Linked DNA regions of Arabidopsis thaliana. The protein of the gene in region 4 interacts with the protein of the main gene of each other region in a pairwise test. Each region holds a gene or a part of one and is shown on either strand. Other genes may lie near its edges.

Evidence for each region.
Region 1: the proteins of MYB114 (region 4) and TT8 interact in binary tests that used the Arabidopsis thaliana proteins (3 or more experiments, as listed by UniProt).
Region 2: the proteins of MYB114 (region 4) and EGL3 interact in a two-hybrid assay, tested with the Arabidopsis thaliana proteins (one study listed by BioGRID).
Region 3: the proteins of MYB114 (region 4) and ATMYC1 interact in a two-hybrid assay, tested with the Arabidopsis thaliana proteins (one study listed by BioGRID).

The regions. Positions count from the first base shown.
Region 1 is NC_003075.7:6,180,062-6,187,037, reverse strand, and holds TT8 (basic helix-loop-helix (bHLH) DNA-binding superfamily protein), read right to left. Parts: upstream 5,158-6,976; 5' UTR 4,972-5,157; coding exon 4,835-4,971; intron 4,616-4,834; coding exon 4,364-4,615; intron 3,983-4,363; coding exon 3,886-3,982; intron 3,698-3,885; coding exon 3,683-3,697; intron 3,601-3,682; coding exon 3,544-3,600; intron 1,860-3,543; coding exon 1,613-1,859; intron 1,529-1,612; coding exon 777-1,528; 3' UTR 515-776; downstream 1-514. UniProt on the Arabidopsis thaliana protein: Transcription activator, when associated with MYB75/PAP1 or MYB90/PAP2. Involved in the control of flavonoid pigmentation. Plays a key role in regulating leucoanthocyanidin reductase (BANYULS) and dihydroflavonol-4-reductase (DFR).
Region 2 is NC_003070.9:23,597,868-23,603,705, forward strand, and holds EGL3 (basic helix-loop-helix (bHLH) DNA-binding superfamily protein), read left to right. Parts: upstream 1-1,545; 5' UTR 1,546-1,783; exon of another isoform or gene 1,784-1,936; 5' UTR 1,937-1,941; coding exon 1,942-2,060; intron 2,061-2,248; coding exon 2,249-2,521; intron 2,522-3,069; coding exon 3,070-3,166; intron 3,167-3,271; coding exon 3,272-3,343; intron 3,344-3,425; coding exon 3,426-4,163; intron 4,164-4,284; coding exon 4,285-4,704; intron 4,705-4,795; coding exon 4,796-4,867; 3' UTR 4,868-5,297; downstream 5,298-5,838. UniProt on the Arabidopsis thaliana protein: Transcription activator, when associated with MYB75/PAP1, MYB90/PAP2 or TT2. Involved in epidermal cell fate specification. Negatively regulates stomata formation but promotes trichome formation.
Region 3 is NC_003075.7:216,312-221,698, reverse strand, and holds ATMYC1 (basic helix-loop-helix (bHLH) DNA-binding superfamily protein), read left to right. Parts: upstream 1-1,917; 5' UTR 1,918-2,014; coding exon 2,015-2,163; intron 2,164-2,289; coding exon 2,290-2,577; intron 2,578-2,917; coding exon 2,918-3,014; intron 3,015-3,139; coding exon 3,140-3,154; intron 3,155-3,298; coding exon 3,299-3,355; intron 3,356-3,456; coding exon 3,457-3,945; intron 3,946-4,023; coding exon 4,024-4,434; coding exon of another isoform or gene 4,435-4,443; exon of another isoform or gene 4,444-4,465; intron 4,466-4,518; coding exon 4,519-4,579; coding exon of another isoform or gene 4,580-4,593; exon of another isoform or gene 4,594-4,657; coding exon 4,658-4,833; 3' UTR 4,834-4,887; downstream 4,888-5,387. UniProt on the Arabidopsis thaliana protein: Trancsription activator, when associated with MYB75/PAP1 or MYB90/PAP2.
Region 4 is NC_003070.9:24,755,477-24,759,451, reverse strand, and holds MYB114 (myb domain protein 114), read right to left. Parts: upstream 2,155-3,975; 5' UTR 2,040-2,154; coding exon 1,919-2,039; intron 1,407-1,918; exon of another isoform or gene 1,354-1,406; coding exon of another isoform or gene 1,332-1,353; coding exon 1,202-1,331; coding exon of another isoform or gene 1,131-1,201; coding exon 962-1,130; 3' UTR 517-961; downstream 1-516.

The DNA.
Region 1 (6,976 bases), on a different chromosome or scaffold from region 4:
CCAATGCAGTTACACATCTTGCAGCTTTGATAATGTATGATGATCAACTAAGAGAAAAATATATATAGCTCATGCTGCAACTATGAACATTGTCAATACATTTATCTCGTTGGTTGATAGCTTAATATTCTTGACTTATAAATGTTCTTCCATACACTAATTATGAGTATAACTATTAGTCTACTCTAGAAATTGTTGATTCTTACACTAAAACGCAATTTCGTAATTTTGCTGGAAAATTTGATTTCGTAATTTGATGTGCTACAACTTGATTCTTAAAATTGAGCACCAAAGTAGAATGTAATGTTTTATATAAACTCTTTGATTTCTCTAATCTGAGGTTAATGATAAAATTACATAAATTATGACATACAAATTTTGGCATAAATTATTTTAATGAATTTTGTAAAGATTTTTTAATAATATTTTCTCAAATTTGAACGTAAGAAAAAACTACATAGAAATTCTACATCTTTATGCATCAAAAAAAATATGATGTTTTAGATGCAACTGAATCTGCATCCAAATATCGCATTCATACAAAAGTACTAAATTGGACAACGAACAACATCGTCATCTAGTACATTTGCATTTATATGTTGCAATTGCATCATACACAAGTACTACATTGGACAAATGAACAATATCATCTAGTACATTTTCATTTATATGTTGCATCCGGCTATATATGTAACTGATGTCTTAATACATGTGAGGCTAAAACAAAAATACGCTTAATTATCCTTCTCTAGAGTTGGCATCAATAAAGTTAGGGTCTATAGATTAGTATCATGTATTATGACTTGGTGGATGGCTCTTTTGACCTCAGCGATGCTTGCTTTCTTCCCTCTTACTTTCGCCCTTATCTCCGCCTCGAAATCATGGTCGTTCACCGAGGTATGAACTGCCGTAGTCTCTATACCAAGCTCATGAAGAACCTGAAGAATGTCAAGCAACAAACCATCTCGGTACTCACATCTCATCTCTAACAAAACATCATTCTCTATGATGGAAACCTCCACCTCCTCCGATGTTTTTCTCTTACAAGTACGCGTCCGCTTATGCTGTTGCTCATGATGAGTATTCTCAAGCTCATGGACCCTCTTTCGAAGATGATTTACGTACGCAATGGTGTCTCCAAGGATTGAGACTTTATCCATCTTGGTCACAAATGGAACCATTGATCTCAACGTTATGAATTTCTCGTTCAGCTTCTCCCTCCTGCGTCGCTCTGCTACTACGTGGCTCAGATCTTCCCGCGGTAGCCTCTTATCTTTAGTGTTGTCATGGAGGAAAGGAACTCTGAAGATCATTTGTTTGAGCACCCATTGTGACGACGGCGCCGTTTTCACTTGCTGATGCTCTTTGCCATTCTCAACCCTCCACGTGGCAAACGATGATTGGATGTAAGAAGATGTGGAAACTGAATCTGAAAGAAGACTTGTGGGGTGTGACATGAGAAGTGTTGTTACTGTCTGAGAATAGTTTCCACCTTCCTCCATTAGATTCATCATGTCCATATGTGTGTCTACATATATATACAAATGATAATTTCTTAGATATAGCGAAATAAATCCGCAAAATATAAGTAGCTTAGGGTAGATATATATACCTAACGTATGGGTTGATTCAATATGAAGATCAGAGTGTAGATTTTGATTGGAAACATCTTCATCATCAGGAGAGCCAAGCCTCATTTCCTCTGACATTGTCATCTCTTCTTCTACTTCTTCTTCGTCTTCGGCTTCTTCATGCACTTCGTAGGTGGAGTGTTCAGAAAGAGCCGGCTTTGGGTTCGTCTTGCAGTGGTCATAGAAGAAACTCTTTGTGAGCTCAACAAACTCTACATCTTCTCTTACCTACACACACAAATACAACAAATAAATATTGATCCATCACTACAAAAAAAAGGATAGATTACATCAATTAAATAGTATCACAAGTATAAATGGTACAAGTTTAAATTACTTATAAGCAAATGACACAAAATAAATAATTAAACATCAATTATAATAAGTGATGTATAAATTAACATGTTTAGCGTCACTTTAATCAAATTGATAGAAATTTGTATTAGTTTGCATCATTTTAACAAATTGATACAAAAATCTGTATTTACACCAATTAAATAACCGATGTATTCACTTAATTTTATTAACATCAGTTTATAAAAATGATATAAAATTATACATCAATAAGAAGTGATGCTAATAAGTTTTTCTGTATTTTAATTTAAACAAAAAACTAACTTGAATTTATTGTAGATGACGAGAAATTGTTATTACCATAAATAAATAATCATATTGGGTTAATAATTTATTATTAATTCCTATATTTTCCCTCAAAATCAGCTAACTAAATATATTTGTTTCCTTCACTATAAATCCTGCTTTTACGCTCACGATCTTTTTTTACAGTTTTGTATCCAAAAACGTTTTTAGAATATCTTCAAATTAGTTTTTGAAATCTCATAACTCTCATTCAATTCTTCATCTTCAACGACAAGTACTTTCTTATTTTTCTATCATTCTATCTTTCTCTTTTTCTTAACCATTGCTCAGTTTTTTTCTTTTCTTTTATTTTCAGAAATCTGCCATTGATCATTAGGACTGTTTGTTTTCCTACACAGTTTGGAGAAACACAAAGTAAAGGTACTCTATCACTTTCTTTTAAAAATACTTACAAATGGTTATTCTTATTCCGACCAAAACAATTCTGTAAATTTTCAAACAATTACTCTCTTTTTTATTTTGTACAGCAGAAACTCAAGTGTGATGAGGATTCAAGAGATATAAGTTATAACCAAAGTATGATTTTGATTCTGTAAATGGAAGAGAGATGGCATAGAAGAAGAAATGGTATTTTTCAAGAAGAACCAACAGTTAATGGAAGGAAGAAGCATGGAACAGAAGAAAGATGTGTTTAAACACGAAGAAACCAAAACCAAATTATGATTATTTTTTTGCTTATCTTATATAAAGATTTATTGTTCATGTAAAATATTTTATTAAATCTTGATAAAATTTTAGTAGATATTCCAACGAGTAATTATCCACAATGATCTGTTATTTAAAAAAAAAAAAGAAATAAATAAAATAATTATTTGAAATATTAATAACATTGTATTAATAATTATATATATATTAATTAAATCAGTTATTTAAACCGAAACAAATACTAACATCACTTAAATAAATTGATGTAAACATTACATCATTTTTAGTAACTGATACAATATTGATATCAATTATAATAATCGATGTAATTATTTTGATTATTTACATCAGTTACTAATTAACTGATGCAAATTATTTGCATCAACAATATTTAAGTCACTTATTTAAGTGATACAAAATTCTTTTACATCACTTTTAACTAATGCAAATATTTATAATAAATGATGTAAAACAACCTTTTTTTTGTAGTGCATCTCCTTAATTTAACATTACTAAACCTAAAGAAAGATAGGCTATATTCACTTTGTTATTTTGTTTATATATTTCATTAACAAGTAAATAAAAGAGAGAGTATATACAACGTTACCTTTTTCGTTGTGCCTAGTTCCACAACACCATCAAGCATTGGAATGCAAACCACTGTCTGCTTTTTTAAAATACATTTTCATCAGAATACAATTCTCAAATCTTACTAAAAAGAGCAAACTAATAAAGACAAATTTTACCTGAATTTTAGCACTCTAAGTCATTGAGGAACCGACGTAAAAGGCCCATAAAACGACAAGAAGAATTATTCAAGTTAATCAGTGAAAATGTATAAAAGTATAGATAAATAGGTTTACAAGTAGATAGATACATAGTATAGTGTATACATAAATAGGTAAAAATAGATGCATAGTATAGTTGGTGAATGAATAAAAGAATTTACCTTAGCGAGAATAGCTCTAGAAAAAGTTTTACTGTCAACTTCATTTGCACCACTTAGCCATACGTGCTTCCTCCTTGCATACGCTTTTCCTGGCATCCTACAAATTACTACCTCCCAAATTTATATTTGATTTTTTTTTACCACATAGAGAAAAGCATGAAGTATACCCATAACTAACCCATTTTGTTATGCATTTATGTTATATCTATTCATGCTTCTACTTTAGATAATCAATCACCAAACAATGAGAATCTCAACGGTCGCAATAATGTTCATGAAAATGTAGTGTGTGTACGTTTCATTAACTCTCATTTCTTTCTTATTCTAGTAACTCAACTTCCTCAGTTTCTCTTTAATGTCAACACAATATTTTCGATATTCGCATTTAACACACAATACTATTTTTGTCTTCACTTAGAGAAGGAAAAAAAAGAAAGAACAAATTTAGAAACTTGAGTATAGGGAGAGAGTTGTTTACCCAGATGGAGGAGGAAAAGAGAAAGAGACGCACATTAGATAAAACCATTCTGTCTCCGTCAAATCCTCCGGTGACAATGCGGTGCATGCTCTTGCTTCTGACGTTGACTCTCCGGCTAAAAGTGTCTCATAAAGCTCCCTGAGCTGTTGGCTCCTCTCTAACGCCGCCTCTTCTGCCGTCACCTCCGCTGGTTGAGTTGTCTTCCTCGTCTTTATTGCACCGTTGTAGTATCCATTCCCCCACACCAAGACCCTAAACAATGATACTTTCATATAAGTAGTTCAAAAATCTTAATAAATTTTGTAAAACCTTCAAAAAAAAAAAAAATTATTTCAAGATCGAATTGTAACACTACGACAAGCCAACAATTAGCCGAATTCATTTAAACATATAGTTTACATAATATATACGGATATAGATATTATGGTTGTATTGTGAGAGATGAATGAACTATAGAGATAAGAAACTAACCGTTGTTGAGGACAAAATTGCCAGAAGACACTATAAGTCCAGTCCACAGATTGAACCGCCGTCTTAAGCAGCCCTTGAAGCTCTTTTTTCTCAGCTCCGGCCACTTTCTCTGCCGGAATAATACTTGATTCATCCATCGTTCCCGGAGATACGAAAACGTGGTAGCTCTCTCTCTAAAAATCTTATAACTTTGAAGGGTTGTTATTAATATGTGAGAAGAATTTACTCTCATACGCTCATGATGACTTAAAATGGTATGGGACCACTGATTTTTGCAATATGCATGTATACGTATATCATCTTAGTGCTTTTGCAACATGTTGACATAAGTAAAGTATAATGCATGTAATGACTTCTATGTATATATGTATGTATATGAATGCATGACCAAAACTCAAGTGCATTAAAAGTTGACTTTTGATTTTTGAATGGTTGGTTCACCAGACGTTGGATGAGAAAGTGAAATAATGAAAGATCTATGTATCTTGTAGACGTGTCATATACTAATTGGACAAATCAAAATACAGAATGAATATATCTAATAATGCTATATTTATTTATTGTTCAGAAAGCATAACATATTATTGTAGATAAAATAGCTAACTGACAAACAAATGAAAACAAATGTTGCTTTGACTTGTGTTACTGCTACAAGGAGCAAAGAAATTGCGTTTTTCACATTTCTATTATTTATAAAATTGATATTAAAATTATATATTGATTAAAATGTTCATTAACAATTTTAAGAAGTTGGAATTATTGGATGAACATTCATATATATTTTCTTTAAAATGAAAAGATAAACTTAACCAAAGATGGGGAATGGTAGAATTGTTGACCTGACCGGTAAGTAAAGAATGAGAAATGGTTTGGTGTAATAAAGGAGAAGAATGAGATGTTTCACATTTGAGTTATTAAATTATTGATGTTAATTGCTAGCCAAGTAGCAGCCACTAGCCACTATAAGTTTCCCATTTAATAATGTCTTATAAAATATAAATGTAGATAGATACTGTTACGTACACATATCGTAGTACATACGATTTTGGGTATGGTTAAGGGTAATGTATGTACACCTGGTTACTTAGACAAAATCAACATTGAATGTTTCTTGGCTTTTTTGTCGACAAAATAAATGTTGCTTGGCTTTTGCTTCTGCTTCTGTGTTTCTTATTACATGTTGTTTCTTCTGAGTTTAGTCGTTCACCAATTATGTAACTCTGACGACGGGCCACGTGGAGTGGTTTCTTCTTATTGATTTTGCTTCTCCTTGTGTGCATCTTTGTGTTTATAAATAAAGGTGTTATGTAACTCATTTCTCATTGGAAATGATTCAAATAACAGAAAATAAACAATACTGTTCTAACACAGAAATGAGCGATTGGTTATTCACAATCACAAGGACAATGCTTTAGTACATAAACGAGAGGTTGGTTAGGCACAAATGTTAACTAAAACCCAAGTTCTTCCATTCCAGAAATGACAAATCATTCCTATTTATAATGCTTTGTTTTCAATGAAAATGACATTAGCCAAAAGTGTTTTGGCAAGAATTAGTTGTTGGAATACAATATATCTTTACAACGCACAACTGCATGAGCTTTGAAGGACCCCGGCCGGTTTATGATGAGAGTGAACTATTTGAAAAGTGGACCACATAATTGTAGAAAAATAATGGGTAATATAGTGTGATGCAAATTGGTGTGAAGTTTTTTGAGTTATTTTTTCTTTCTTTTTCTGAAATGTAATCATTCGTGTGAATGAGAGATTTCTTGTATTTTGTTCAATATATTAAGACCCGGTCCAAACCGGTCAGTTGGACCGTAATCCCATGATCCCGTTGGGGATCCATGGCTAAAATCGCCATGTATTGAACCCTGAAAAGTTCATCATTAACTTGTGATCTGACCGAATAACGATTTAAAAATCACTTACATCAATCTAGAGGATTTGATTTTATAACCTTTTACCACAGTTAGAGGAATTAGTTTGACATTTTCGGATAACAAATAGTATGGTTTTCTTTTTCCTAACCCTTTTTTGCTACCCAAAACCTAAGCTTTATAATCTTTCATAACATGCGTAAGATAGTAAAAATATCAAGCGGTAATGACTAATGAAAAGACAAAAGTCTAGTGTCTA
Region 2 (5,838 bases), 1.2 Mb from region 4:
TCACTACATTTTTATAGTCAAATTATATATATTAAGCAAAAGTCAAAATGACCCTTTTTGAGCTGAGAGCCGGAGACTATAGGCTACAGAATCTAATGTTTGCGTGTGTTCACGATGACCACAGTGTAACTAGATGACATATCTTTTAGGAAAGTAACGAAAAAAATAATCAGCAAAGAAAAACTATTTAAGAAATTACTGAAAACACAGACGTTCACGTTGATATAAATGTACAAATCTTCATTTATCAGGTTATTATGTTTTATGAATCATACAGTTAGTACATGAAATAAACAATATCTGACTCCGTTTTTCAACGTACAGACACGACAAGTAGTCCTAGTTAGGGGTGATAATTTTGGGAGATGCGAAGAATTAATTAAGAGCATGCACATAGCATATGATAATAATGACTCTTGGTTTCTTCTTTATTAATCATCTCATTTAAATATCATTTTCTCGTGATTTTGATCAACATAGGTTGTTACATAGCTAAACCCATTATCAATCCCTTACCTTAGAATTGAAGTCAAGGAAGAATACTAAACCTTACATTATCTTTAGATCCCAAATTCACTCGTTCTTGATAACCTTATTGTCTAACTCCATATATAATTGGCTCGTGTACGCATCTTTAATACAAATAATTTACGAGGTTGCGATTAATTAAAATGAAGGTGCATAGAAAATTAATTAGCAATTATACAAATGTTCTATGGTATTTCCGAAGATTCGAAAACAATGTAGAATATATATATTCAATGAACATAGTATATATTATATTTTAGTTAAACCATACAACGTAATTTAGTCAATACTAGAAGCTTGTCTCTCTCTCCAGGGTATCTCCTCGAGGCATAACATTAATTTCATGTCTTTCTTCGTGTTTCACCATTAGGATTTGTTCTATCTTAAAATCAAGTTAATATTTGTGTATATATTTGACCAGTAAGGCAGTAACATATAAACATTGCTTATAAGGGTGGCAAATTGGTTTGGTTGGATTTGTAAGTGTTATGCCTATGAATTTTTTTTTTGGTTCAAACTCTGCTTAAAGTCTAAAGACCTATATTATGAGTTACTAAAAAAAGTTATTTCCTCCGTTTCAAAATATAAGATGTTTTAAATAAAAATATAAAAATTAAAAAATCAAAATATAAGATGTTTTAATTAAAAATATAAAAATTAAAAAATATTTTTTAAAAAATTCAGCAGATTATAAAAGCTGATGCATAATATAAATATGTATACAATATTAAATTAATCTATAATTTACATAAAAACTTGAAAATATTTTATATTGTGAAACAAACAAATTTCTTCAGAACATCGTTTATCATGAAACGTAGAGAATAGGACATATCATTGATAGAAAAAAGATTTTAGAGATGGAAAAATAACTAATTTCTCTTAACAAAAATAAATTTCCAAAAGGAGAGTGGTGCTTGGAACACCGTATTCAAAAGGGTTATACACTAGACACTACTTTTTTTTTTTTTTACCATCTTGTTTTATATATATTTATTTAAAATTCCTCGTAAAGTTCAGTGTTTTGTGATTATATACAGTGTACACACACCTAAAATAAGTATCCATAAAGAGATTTGGTCATTCGGACACCGTCCTTTTCTCTCAACTCAAAGCTCAATTCAACCACAACAGATAGTAACTTGAAAGTCACAAATATTTAATATTTTCCCATTATAGAAGGTTAAAAAAAATAAATATATTCTGGGTTTTGTTGTCTTCTTCTTTCTTCCTCAGGAAACCAAACCAATGTCATGTAAAAATCACTAACTCATGACTAGTCATAACCTTTAAATCACTTCTGCTTTTTTTCTGTTTCTCTTTTGATTTATTCAAAGACAACAAAGTTTTGTTTTTGACAAAAAATCTGATCTTTGTTTGTTCGTTTGTTTGTTACATGGGGATGAAGAAACAATGGCAACCGGAGAAAACAGAACGGTGCCGGACAATCTAAAGAAACAGCTCGCAGTTTCAGTTCGAAACATTCAATGGAGTTATGGAATCTTCTGGTCTGTCTCTGCTTCTCAACCAGGGTACAATCTCGTAATCTTTATCCTTCAAATTAACTTTTCTTGAAAATAAAGTTTTGTTTGAGACATTCTTGACTTTAGTCCAAAACTCAGATAAAACTTTATCCTTACTTCAAGATTTCGATTTTTGTTATGTTTTCTCGATTAATCCAATTTTTCTTGGCTATCTTTTTTGTTTTCTCTAAACGAAGAGTGTTGGAGTGGGGAGATGGATATTACAATGGAGACATAAAGACAAGGAAGACGATTCAAGCAGCAGAAGTCAAAATTGACCAGTTAGGTCTTGAGAGAAGTGAGCAGCTTAGAGAGCTTTATGAATCTCTCTCCCTCGCTGAATCCTCAGCTTCCGGTAGCTCTCAGGTCACTAGACGAGCTTCCGCCGCCGCTCTCTCACCGGAGGACCTCACCGACACCGAGTGGTACTACTTAGTATGCATGTCTTTCGTCTTCAACATCGGTGAAGGGTAATTCCGTCTCTTCCTCATAATCCTTTCATTTCACCTTTTTTAAAAACAAAAACCTATCTTTCAGAAAAATTTCTTTTATGAAGAATATCGTTTTTAAATTATAGTATTATTTTATTCGTAGACATTATAAGAAAATGTAAACGATACCAAAATTCTAAAAAAAAAGTATAAGGGTATGTTTTATTTTGTCTCATAAAAAAAGACAAGAACACCCTTTATTAGCTTGTCTCCTTCATTTCTTCTTCCATGTGAGCTTATTCAGAAATCCGACATGTACGAGTTTAATTATTAACAATGCAATTATCCTTTATATTTACTTAATTTTTTTTATGTTTGTAGGTTTTTTTAAAGTATACCTCTTTTTAATCTTAGAAGACATACATAGATAGAAATGCGAAAGCACAACGGAAATAAGTTTTTACTTCATTTGCATAATTGCATTATACATTTGCTATTCAAAGAAAGTAGTAGAAAACTTTTGTTCCCATTAAGATAAAGATTTTGAGATACAAAACATAAAGGGTATTTCCGTCTTTCTAATGTAGAATCCCCGGAGGAGCGTTATCCAATGGAGAACCAATATGGCTTTGTAACGCTGAAACCGCCGATAGCAAAGTCTTCACTCGTTCTCTTCTAGCTAAAGTAAGTTTTTTGCAATTGGAAACGCTAACGCTAGAATTCAAGAACGCTATAACTGAAAACGCTCTTTTTTTTTTTTTTTTTCGTTTGGCGTTTTGCTCTTTAAAGAGTGCTTCGCTTCAGACAGTGGTTTGCTTCCCGTTTCTTGGAGGAGTCCTTGAGATTGGCACGACCGAACATGTAAGCCTATATTTCCTATTTTTTTTCCAACACTATCAAAACATTCTTAAAAGTACCCAAAACTTATCTTTTGTTCTTTTAGATTAAAGAGGACATGAACGTGATACAAAGTGTTAAGACGTTGTTCCTTGAAGCTCCTCCATATACTACAATATCGACAAGATCAGACTATCAAGAAATTTTTGATCCCTTAAGTGACGATAAATACACTCCGGTGTTTATAACCGAAGCTTTTCCAACAACTTCTACTAGCGGGTTTGAGCAAGAACCTGAGGATCATGATTCGTTCATCAACGATGGTGGTGCGTCTCAGGTACAAAGCTGGCAGTTTGTGGGTGAAGAAATCAGTAACTGCATTCACCAATCGTTAAATTCAAGCGATTGCGTTTCCCAAACGTTTGTTGGAACAACCGGGAGACTTGCTTGCGATCCAAGGAAGAGTAGGATTCAACGGTTAGGTCAGATTCAAGAACAGAGTAACCATGTAAATATGGACGACGATGTTCATTACCAAGGCGTGATATCGACGATTTTCAAAACAACGCATCAGCTAATACTCGGACCGCAGTTTCAGAACTTCGATAAGCGGTCTAGCTTCACAAGGTGGAAGCGATCATCATCTGTGAAAACATTGGGAGAGAAATCGCAGAAGATGATAAAGAAGATACTCTTCGAGGTTCCTTTGATGAACAAGAAAGAAGAGTTGTTACCGGACACACCAGAGGAAACCGGGAACCATGCCTTGTCCGAGAAGAAACGCCGCGAGAAATTGAATGAACGGTTTATGACATTGAGATCAATCATTCCCTCAATTAGTAAGGTAACCGATTCTAGCAAATCTGTTTCAGTAACGTTTTATGTTTATTTCTTGATAATAGGAAGACATGTTTAAATATAATGCTCTGAAGGAACTAAGCTTGAGTCTCTTGCTGATTCTACAGATTGATAAAGTGTCGATTCTTGATGATACAATTGAGTATCTTCAAGATTTACAGAAACGGGTTCAAGAGTTGGAATCTTGTAGAGAATCTGCTGATACAGAGACACGGATAACGATGATGAAGAGGAAGAAACCGGATGATGAGGAGGAAAGAGCATCAGCGAATTGTATGAACAGCAAAAGGAAGGGGAGTGATGTGAATGTAGGAGAAGATGAACCAGCTGATATCGGTTATGCTGGTCTAACGGATAACTTAAGGATCAGTTCATTAGGTAACGAGGTGGTTATTGAGCTTAGATGCGCTTGGAGAGAAGGGATATTGCTTGAGATAATGGATGTGATTAGTGATCTCAACTTGGATTCTCACTCGGTTCAGTCGTCAACCGGAGACGGTTTACTCTGCTTAACTGTCAATTGCAAGGTACAGTCATTAAACCAAGCTTGATTTATGTTACTCAACCGGAATATGAGCAAACCGAAATGTGATATGTAATGTTTAATGTTGATTGCAGCATAAAGGGACAAAAATAGCAACAACAGGAATGATCCAAGAGGCACTTCAAAGGGTTGCATGGATATGTTAAGGATTCAAGGTTTAGATTTGACAAAATTAGCTTTTTCTCTGGTTTGGTTTCCCAATTTTCGGTAATCAGTGATTCTAACCGAGTTTTTGTGATTTTGAAGTTTTGGAAGATCCTTAAGAATTCTTGAAAAATCGTTCCTTTTGGCTCATTACGTAGGAGAAGACAATAAGAAATTACTTACTTAGCAATTAGCATACTATGAAATTCAATTATGCGAAATATGAAAACCACTCGTAGTAGTTCGTGCACTATCATTTTTAAAAGTAAGTAAACTAGAACTTTTTTTTTGTTGTTGAAAGTAACTTTTGTATAAGTATTTGTAACGAGATCATATTTTGTGACTAGTTCAAGTTCGACCAAAAACATTATAGTAAAATCTAAAGAGATACTACATAGCCCGATTCCAGTATCTTAAGTCTTCAATCTCACTTCAAATATTCTTTATATGTTTTTAGAAAAGTTATGTAAGAAATTAAAAAAATATTTTTAGAAAAGTTAAAGATAGAAATGGTGGTCAAAAGCTGATAAAAGTGTTCGCAAAATACACTGCCTTATAGAGAAAAGAAGTAATGTCATTTCAAATAATTGCATCTAACGCCACTGAGATCTCACTTCAACATGTGTTACCATTTTAACATTAACTTTTTATTTCAAAAAGAAAGGAAGAAAATTGTAAGCACAAGGACTATACTGTATTTGGATTTCGTTTGGTAGCATCAAAGTAACACTCTCATTTTAGTAAGAGGTTAACTTTATTGAAAATACACATAATGTGGGGTTAGAAATTGTGTTGAACAATTTCTTGATTTAGAACGAAACTTAAAAAGAGTGGAAATTCTTTAATGGGTTGGTTGGCATGGTAGGTGGCCATTAAGAAGATCCATGAATTGGTGAAGTTGAGGTTTATATCATGTATTAGCCTCGGTATATAGTGTGTAAACCTTGATATTTAGTATGTAGAAGTATGACTA
Region 3 (5,387 bases), on a different chromosome or scaffold from region 4:
TTTGGGACAGCTTCTAGATATGGACCCCAACAAAAAAAAAAAAAAAAAAAACTGAAACTAATACAAGTCAAGACCCAACTATAGTAACTAGGTTTGGGTGAACCATTGGGACAACAATCTTCCACAACCTTTGCGATATTGTCACGGATGGTTATGTCAATCTGCCACAAAACAATCTTAGGAGAGAACTTGAAGTGTTGTGCAATCTCTCATTTCTTTCTCTCCGAAGAAAGAAAATTGTTGCTTGTATAATGAGAATTAAAGACTTCAAGTTCTCACTCAACTTTAAATTTATCTAACTTTTCTCTTTGTCGTGGTTCATGTCGCTTCTTTTTCATCCTGAATGCAATTTGATATAGGATCCCATTGGTTAGGATTGTATATGTTTTGTAAAATTTAGGGTAATATATAGACTTTTATACTATAATTTTATTATTATATACATTTAAAAAATGTCTAGGGCATCTAAAATTAAATTAATTGTTTCTATGAAAATAGAAAATATAAACACAAACATATGGCTATAATGAGTGTGTTGTGCCAACAGAAATAATTTATAAAATTAAACACAAAGTTTTGTCGTTATGGAAATAAATGTGCATGCAACCACAAGTGGTGCGTTACTAAATTATGTAGGGCTTCGTGGATAGAGATGGATCAATTATTATTTTCACGAGTTTCTTGCCTTCATTTCAGCCAGCTCTCTCCTGATCTTGCCTTCAATTTTATTACTATTTTTTTACTGCCACTTGCTATATTTACTTACTTCGGACAAAATAGTGCTTTGATGGTAAACAAATAACGATCGGTATATGCGATGTCTCGCGATTGATTATCAAACTTGAACAGTAGTGTGTATTTGTTTAATATATAATCTATTAGAGTATCATGGAATTATTCGGGTGAAATGCGCATTTATATCTATCATAGAAACTAGAATCTTCACTATCCAAATAGTATATTCCATTTTCTTGCAACTACGTATAACTACATTCTGTTTGTCATATATTTAAGATCGAGTAACAAAAAATTAATCATCTTCATTGATGTGAGCCAGACAAAGAGTTCAATTTTTTTGGTTGTTAAAGTATGTTGATACTTGATACGTTTACCAAAACACAAAAAAACAATGTAGGTCGATACGTTCCATTTCCACACAACAAGATAGATACAAATATATAATGATTGTAAGACAATAAGACCCCGACATGTCTTAACACGAAAAAAAAAGTAACTAAGTTTATATAAACCAACACAAGTTTAACTAAGAATCTAAGAATCTCTACTTTGTTGATTTCATAAGTGTATTCATCTAAATTAGTTATAAGTACAATGTAATATCAACATGTATTTATATTGTCTCTTGTTGGATATTAACTATCCAAACCAAACCTATAATATGAAATCATCAAAACATTAATCATTATGGTCAAACTATCTCAAGTTGTATTCTTTAAAAAGTGTCACGATAAACTCTAACATCATAGTGGATTTAAGACAACACAAATCCAAAAGAGTTAAAAAGATCGGTCTTAAATTTATGATTCATATCCATGCATGATGTTGGCCAATCACCTAGTATAGTAGTAATAACCAAGCTTTTGACTAAATGAATAGGAGGAAACAAAAAAACTATATTGAATCTTTCTTTTTGCAATATTTTTCAGCATCATCACTAATTTAGAGAATATTTTACCTTGGTTTTCACCAAATAGAATCCAACACTATTACCATATGTATTGTATAAAGATAAGTCACTCCAAAAACCAAGATCATGACCCAAGTCAACCACTCTCTCTCATAATTCAGACACAGTACTCAACTTTAAAGACACTCTTTTAAGACTTTCCATCAGGACCAAGCTGAGAAAGAGAAAGCAATAAAGAAAGAAAGAAAAGGAAATAAAGCTTCAATACCAAACCCTTCTTTAATAAATTTTGCCTTTTGGTTGTCTCCTCTTTATCAATCACTTTGGTTCCATACTTTTAAATTCAGTTCTTCACGATATCTAGATATGTCTTTGACAATGGCTGATGGTGTAGAAGCTGCAGCAGGAAGAAGTAAAAGACAAAACAGCTTATTAAGAAAACAACTTGCTTTAGCTGTAAGAAGTGTTCAATGGAGCTACGCAATCTTCTGGTCGTCTTCACTTACTCAACCTGGGTAAGTATAATCTAATATTCATCATGTACCAAAATTATCAGATCTTGTTGTTCTCATCTTTGCATTTCCATTTTCTCTTCTTTTAAATCTTGGGTTACTTATGAGTACTATGTTCTACTAATTTAGGGTTTTGGAGTGGGGAGAAGGATGTTACAATGGAGATATGAAGAAGAGGAAGAAGAGTTATGAATCTCATTATAAATATGGGTTGCAAAAAAGCAAGGAGCTTCGGAAACTTTATTTGTCTATGCTTGAAGGAGACAGTGGTACTACTGTTAGTACTACTCATGATAATCTCAATGATGATGATGATAATTGTCACAGTACAAGTATGATGCTGTCACCAGATGACCTCTCTGATGAAGAGTGGTACTATTTAGTCTCCATGTCCTATGTCTTCTCTCCTTCACAATGGTTTGTTCTCTCACTCTCTCTCTCTCTTCTCCTATGAATTTGTACACTAAAATATATTAGCTCTTGTGAACTATTCATATAGAAAAACCAATTTGCAATAAAGAAGTAATGAGAAATGTCCTTTCATTTTAAGATGAAACATCCATCACTTTGGGTAAAGAGTTTAGTACCACCAAAACCATTTGGTAAATAGTGGAGTGATTATTCCTTTGGGGTTCCTTTTTGTTACACTTTCACCTTTTGCATTTTAAGTAATCCTAGATTAAGTTTTTTTTTTCTCTTTTATGATCATTAATTATTGTCATTTTGGCTTTTTTGGTTGTTTATGTATATACTTTAGTTTGCCTGGAAGAGCTTCAGCGACGGGTGAGACCATATGGCTCTGCAACGCTCAATATGCGGAGAACAAGCTCTTCTCTCGTTCTTTGTTAGCAAGAGTAAGTTCTCAGAAACTTCTAATTTCCTCTTCTTGAATCTTGATATATCAAGATCGAATCTGACTAAAAATCTCCTTTGATCTTCTTTGCTTTTCATTACTGTTCATATGGCTTCTCTCCTTTAGAGCGCATCAATTCAGGTACGTTATAATGTTTGTTATAACTGGATTCTGATTGTTAGAAATAAAAGTTTAGTTCTCTTATTGTTAGAAATGAAAGTTTAGTTATCTATATATCAATTTGGATAGAAGATTTATAGAATGTATCTGTGTTGTTATCTCCAGACTGTTGTGTGTTTCCCTTACTTGGGCGGAGTCATTGAGCTGGGCGTCACTGAATTGGTAACTCTCCATCTTAATATATAAAGTTTTACTTTTGTTGCTTGCTTCACAAGAATTAAATATACCTTACTTTGTTTAATTTTGTTCATGATCAATGAAAGATTTCAGAAGACCATAACCTGCTTCGAAACATCAAATCTTGCTTGATGGAAATATCTGCACACCAAGACAACGATGACGAGAAGAAGATGGAGATTAAGATCAGTGAAGAGAAGCATCAGCTTCCATTAGGTATTTCTGATGAAGACTTGCATTACAAAAGAACCATTTCAACAGTACTCAACTACTCCGCAGATAGATCAGGTAAGAACGATAAGAACATTCGTCATCGTCAGCCAAATATTGTTACTTCTGAACCTGGCTCAAGTTTCTTGCGGTGGAAGCAATGTGAGCAGCAAGTCTCGGGTTTTGTTCAGAAAAAAAAGTCACAGAATGTGTTGCGGAAGATATTGCATGATGTCCCTTTGATGCACACAAAGAGAATGTTCCCAAGTCAGAACTCTGGTCTGAATCAAGATGATCCTTCAGATAGAAGAAAAGAGAACGAAAAGTTCAGTGTCCTTAGAACTATGGTTCCCACTGTCAACGAGGTAATAACTCTTTTTCTAAATCCTTAGAGACAAGACTGTGTTTCAGAAGCCAACACTCTGTTTTGAATCTTTGTGCAGGTTGATAAAGAATCGATACTAAACAACACAATCAAGTACCTGCAAGAACTGGAGGCAAGAGTAGAAGAGCTAGAATCTTGTATGGGATCAGTTAATTTTGTAGAAAGACAAAGAAAGACGACAGAGAACCTTAACGACTCTGTGTTGATCGAAGAGACATCAGGGAACTACGATGATAGCACGAAGATCGATGACAATTCAGGAGAAACCGAACAAGTCACTGTTTTCAGAGATAAGACACATTTGAGAGTTAAACTCAAAGAAACAGAAGTTGTGATCGAAGTAAGATGTTCTTACAGAGACTACATAGTTGCGGACATCATGGAAACTCTGAGCAATCTTCACATGGATGCTTTCTCTGTTAGATCTCACACGCTCAATAAGTTCCTCACATTGAATCTCAAGGCCAAGGTAAATTAATCTTACTGATGTTTGGAAAAGGCAGATTTGGGTTTTCTTGACTTACACGTAACGTTTTTGGGTTTATGCATGCAGTTTCGCGGGGCTGCAGTTGCGTCCGTAGGAATGATTAAGCGAGAGCTGAGAAGAGTCATTGGTGATTTGTTTTAATGTTCTTCTTAGTAAAAATTCTTATATTTTCTTAAACTTTTGATGAAATGTTATATTTATCTAGACTTTCGTGAACCGATATGCGATGTGCCATTATCTTTACATCAAGTTTTCAGGGTTTTTGTATGTAAAGTTTGCCAAAGTTTGGTTGGAATTTTCGACAACGTTGTCTCTTCCTCTTCTACAAAACCAAGATCTATACTTATTCATAATTCATGGGCGATTTGTATCTTTCATTAATGATTGTTTTGAGCTATTATATTATTTGTATTGATAGAAAAAAATAACCAATTGGCTTTGGCTCAACTTCTTTCCCGTGAAGAGGATGGATCATATACATATCCTATTGTAATTTGAATGAACCCTATTGGGTCAAGGATCATGATCTCATGGGAAAGCTAATGAGCTTTATCCACCTCAAAGCCAATTGGTTACTAATGCTTGAACTAAATCTGTCTTATATACTAGCTAAAATTTCCATATGTTTCCGATGTGGGATTTGTTAAAGTTACTAATGCAATTTTTCTGCCGACATTATCATAATAAGTTGTACCTTAAACCTCAAGTAATTGATTTGGTCCTCATAGGCTATTAGGTTTAGTGGGCTTTTGGGCCGTATTAAACCCGTTTGATTAGAAAAGCTAGCGCTCGCCAAAAGCCCTAAACTTGTCTCGTAGCCTCAACCTCTTGATATTATGCTTCGTTTAGGTCGTCATGTGTGATTCTGTGCTTCAGTTTCTTTCTAAATCCTTAAATAAACGGATTGATATTTACTAAACGGAGGATAATGTAAC
Region 4 (3,975 bases):
TTACATTCTAACAATTTTTTGAACATTGGATCCAACACGAAATCAAAGTAAGCCAGAATTGAATGTACTCGATTATTATATTTTGCATATACGGCGTTGAACATATTGGAATTTGATAGATCTTTTAAACAATTTGTAACACATGTGTAAGTGTGTGACCTTTCAATATAAAACACCAATATATCAATCACTCTATCAGAAGTCCATTTCCGTTCTCCGGTTGGCCCATAGCAAAACACTATGCACGTACAAGAATCTATTATTATATAGCGCATACTTACAAAATCTAATGTCTCTGTAGTTACTAATATATGATACAAGTTCAACGGTTGCTGTTAAGAAAATTAGGCATGTATATTGCCAAAAAGATATATACATTGTACAACACCATTGGTCCAAAACTTATGAAGTAATGAAAATCCAAAATTCCAAATGCAAATAATCTCAAATAAAAATCTAAAATTCCAAAATATATATATTCTTATTTTTTTATTTTTTACAAAATGTAAACTCACACAGAAACGGAAACATAAGGTTTGCCTAAAATACTATAAGATATTAGTTAATTTAGAAAATAGATACTAAATTAAATAGAGAAACCTCACAAACAAGAGAACACAAACGTTTATAAACACTAATCAAAGATCACAGTCTCTCCATCGAACAAATTCCAAAGTTGCTCAACGTCAAACGCCAAAGTGCCCTCCTTTTCTGTTGCCGCCGCTTCTGTAACCAGCACATCTACCTCTTGGCCCTCGTCTAGCAAACGCTCCAACCATATATTATCTCCAACCATAAAATTATCCACAAAATCATCTTTCTCATCATCTTTGTTACATGTGATACTATTTTCACAAACATTATCGTTGTCGAGTCCAAGGCATGGAGGAATTACACCAACTTCAGACTGTCCATCGAGATGGTTGCAGCCGGTTTTTATAGAGAAGAATCGAGGCCGAGGCTAAAAAATATCGACTTTTTGGGCCGGTGTATTAGGAGGGGTTATAATATTTATCCTTTTTATCTTAGTTTTACAACACGGTTCATGCTTCTTACTCAGATGGGTGTTCCAGTAGTTCTTGACATCATTAGCGGTCCGACCAGGTAATCGACCAGCAATCAAGGACCACCTACGTATACATACGAGTTACTAGTATTAGACTTATTGCTCGTTAAATAAGTAGAATAAAGTAAATTATACCTATTTCCTAGAAGCTTATGAAGACGAAGAAGAAGATCAACTTCATCAGAACTAAATTTTCCTCTCTTGATACTTGGCTTCAAATAGTTTAACCATCTTAGTCTACAACTTTTCCTGCACCGATTTAGCCCTACAAAACCAATAATTGACATTAGTTAAACCTAAGAAGATTGCTGTCTCTTTCTATAATTTTATCATAAAGAATCTATGCACACCAATAGAAACAATGTACTATACACACATACGCACGTGTTCGTATAAAAACTTTCACTAAATTCATTTATGAATTAGAAGACAAACCAATCGTAGAATTAAACGACTTTTCGGAAGTTCGCATTTTGTTTTTAGAATATGTAACGTAGATAAACATAGAACATTTTAAAAAAAAAAAAAAAAAAAAATCTTCCTCTAAGTTCAACATTAAAGTTTCCAATAGTTGGTCGGTATATTGAATACCGGATCAAAATCTAACGAGTCTGTATATTATTTCATCGTTCACTCCGATATATTCCGGAACAACTTCGGACCAACCCCGGTCTATATATGTTAATACGTAATGAACAGTAAATGCATACCAAAATATTACTATTTAACATATCAAAATGTTGGTCTGATCATTAGTCTAATATAGAGCATACAACACAACCAGTCAAAGTCTAAGTATGATTTTATGAACAGTGTAAAGAAATTTTCATGATTATGTGTTTAGATACATACCAGCTCTTAAAGGAACTTGATGCCATTTGCCTTCTCCATACTTACCAATACACTGCCTCAAGAGACTATCTTCTTCAGCAGTCCATGCACCTTTCCTCAACCCTTTGGACGAACCCTCCATGGACCAAAGATAGATATCTAAGCAAACTATAAGAAAAGGATTGAGATAGGTATATATTGTGACTTCAGAGATCCTTGGAGGAGTAGAGAGTGTGAGTATCTGAGCGGAAATATATACACACGTGACGGGCTTAGGAAAGTGACGTGCATGTGTAATATCCACATTTCTGTTTTACATGTCGTGCTTTATTTGCTAAGTTATTGTTTGGTTTCTGATTTGACTAGAGAAATGGTTCATAGACACCTAACTTGTCTCTTCATCCTTTTTCTGTACTTCAAAACATGCAAAAATGAAAAAATAGGAGAATTGATGGCAGATGGTCTATATATATGAGGAGGCTATTTTTCTCTTGTTTTTCTTTCATTTACAGATTATTGGAGTGTTTTTATCCACTGCAGATCTCACAAACTTTGAATTCTTAACACTAATGTACATATTCATCAAGTGATTTTTTTTTTTCCATTTAGCAGAATTGAACTTCCCCACTCTAGCCTTCATCTTTTGATCGCTTTACCCTTAATTCATCTTCATCTTATTAGTGTATACTGTTTGTTTAGTATAAAAGTATTTCTTTGTAACACATCTCCTCAGAAACCTCAAGGGGGACTAAGAATATATTATATCAATATTTTCTTGTTATAAATAATTGAAGGACCAAAAAATAATAAAATAATAATAATAATTGAAGAATTTATGTCACAAAAATATTTCATGAAATTTTTTTATCTAGTAAAAAAATATCTAGTACATAACTCTTGACCCACATAACGGTCAAAATTCAGGCTTCCTACAACATACATATTTCATGAAGATTTCTACAATATCTAAAAAGGTAACCCAAGACCTGATCACAAAATATTCAACAAGTCATAGTGTGTAGCAGGTATGATATAACATAAAAACTAATTTGATTTATTCCAGATACCTCTAAAATAATATATTCTAGATTATGATTAAAATATATAATTTGATTTTGGTGAAACAAGTATGATATAACATAAAAACTAAGACAGAATATCCTTTAACAAAAACTAAAATAATATTAATTCTTTTTTGTTAGCGCAAAACACACCAATTATGTAATTTTATGATATAGGATAGCACTGGTGATGATTAGCTGATATTTTGTAGAATATTTTTGAAGGAAATAGTAAGAATTTTTTTAACTTTTCAAGTGAAACCAACGTGTATGCTCATCGTCCACAAACAATTTTCCACATGAGACATAATTTCATAAAAGCTATAAGGTGTGAAGTCATTTCTTTCAAGATTTTCCAGAACAAAAATAATCATACACTGTAAGGAAAATTTCCTTTTGAAGTGATAGATATTTATCATACATTTTTAGAATTTTATATTTTCTTTTCAACCGACGTCATAGTAATTAATACCAGATGAACGAGACTAGTATGGATTTGGGAGAATTTCAAGGAATAAACTTCACTTTACTGACACAAAGTTTTATAGATTTTCTGAAGAATAATTTACTTGGAAGTTTCACGTTTAAGTTTTTTCTCAAAGAATGCTAAATTTATGAATCTTTTAGAAAAATCTGACTTACACACTTGTATGTGTGTAACCTTTAATAAGAAAACACTATTCAATCACAAGTTCCTTTCCGATCCTCCGGTGGTTATGTTTGCCAAAACCCATGTGTTAAATTGATATATAATAGAATATAATAATAATAGATCTGATTGATAACATAAATTAGTTGAAACTGTAAGTTATTTTGAAACAATGTAAAACTGTAAAAAATAGTTATACGAAAAAGTTGTACAATAAAACTAAAAATAAAAAATATTATAATGATTTTGATAAAAAAAATTGTGAATGATAAATATCGAAAATATACAAAAAAAATATATCGTTTTGATAGTAGTTTATCATTCAAAGCTAATAAAAACAACGATAATGGTAAGTTTTAAGAATTTTT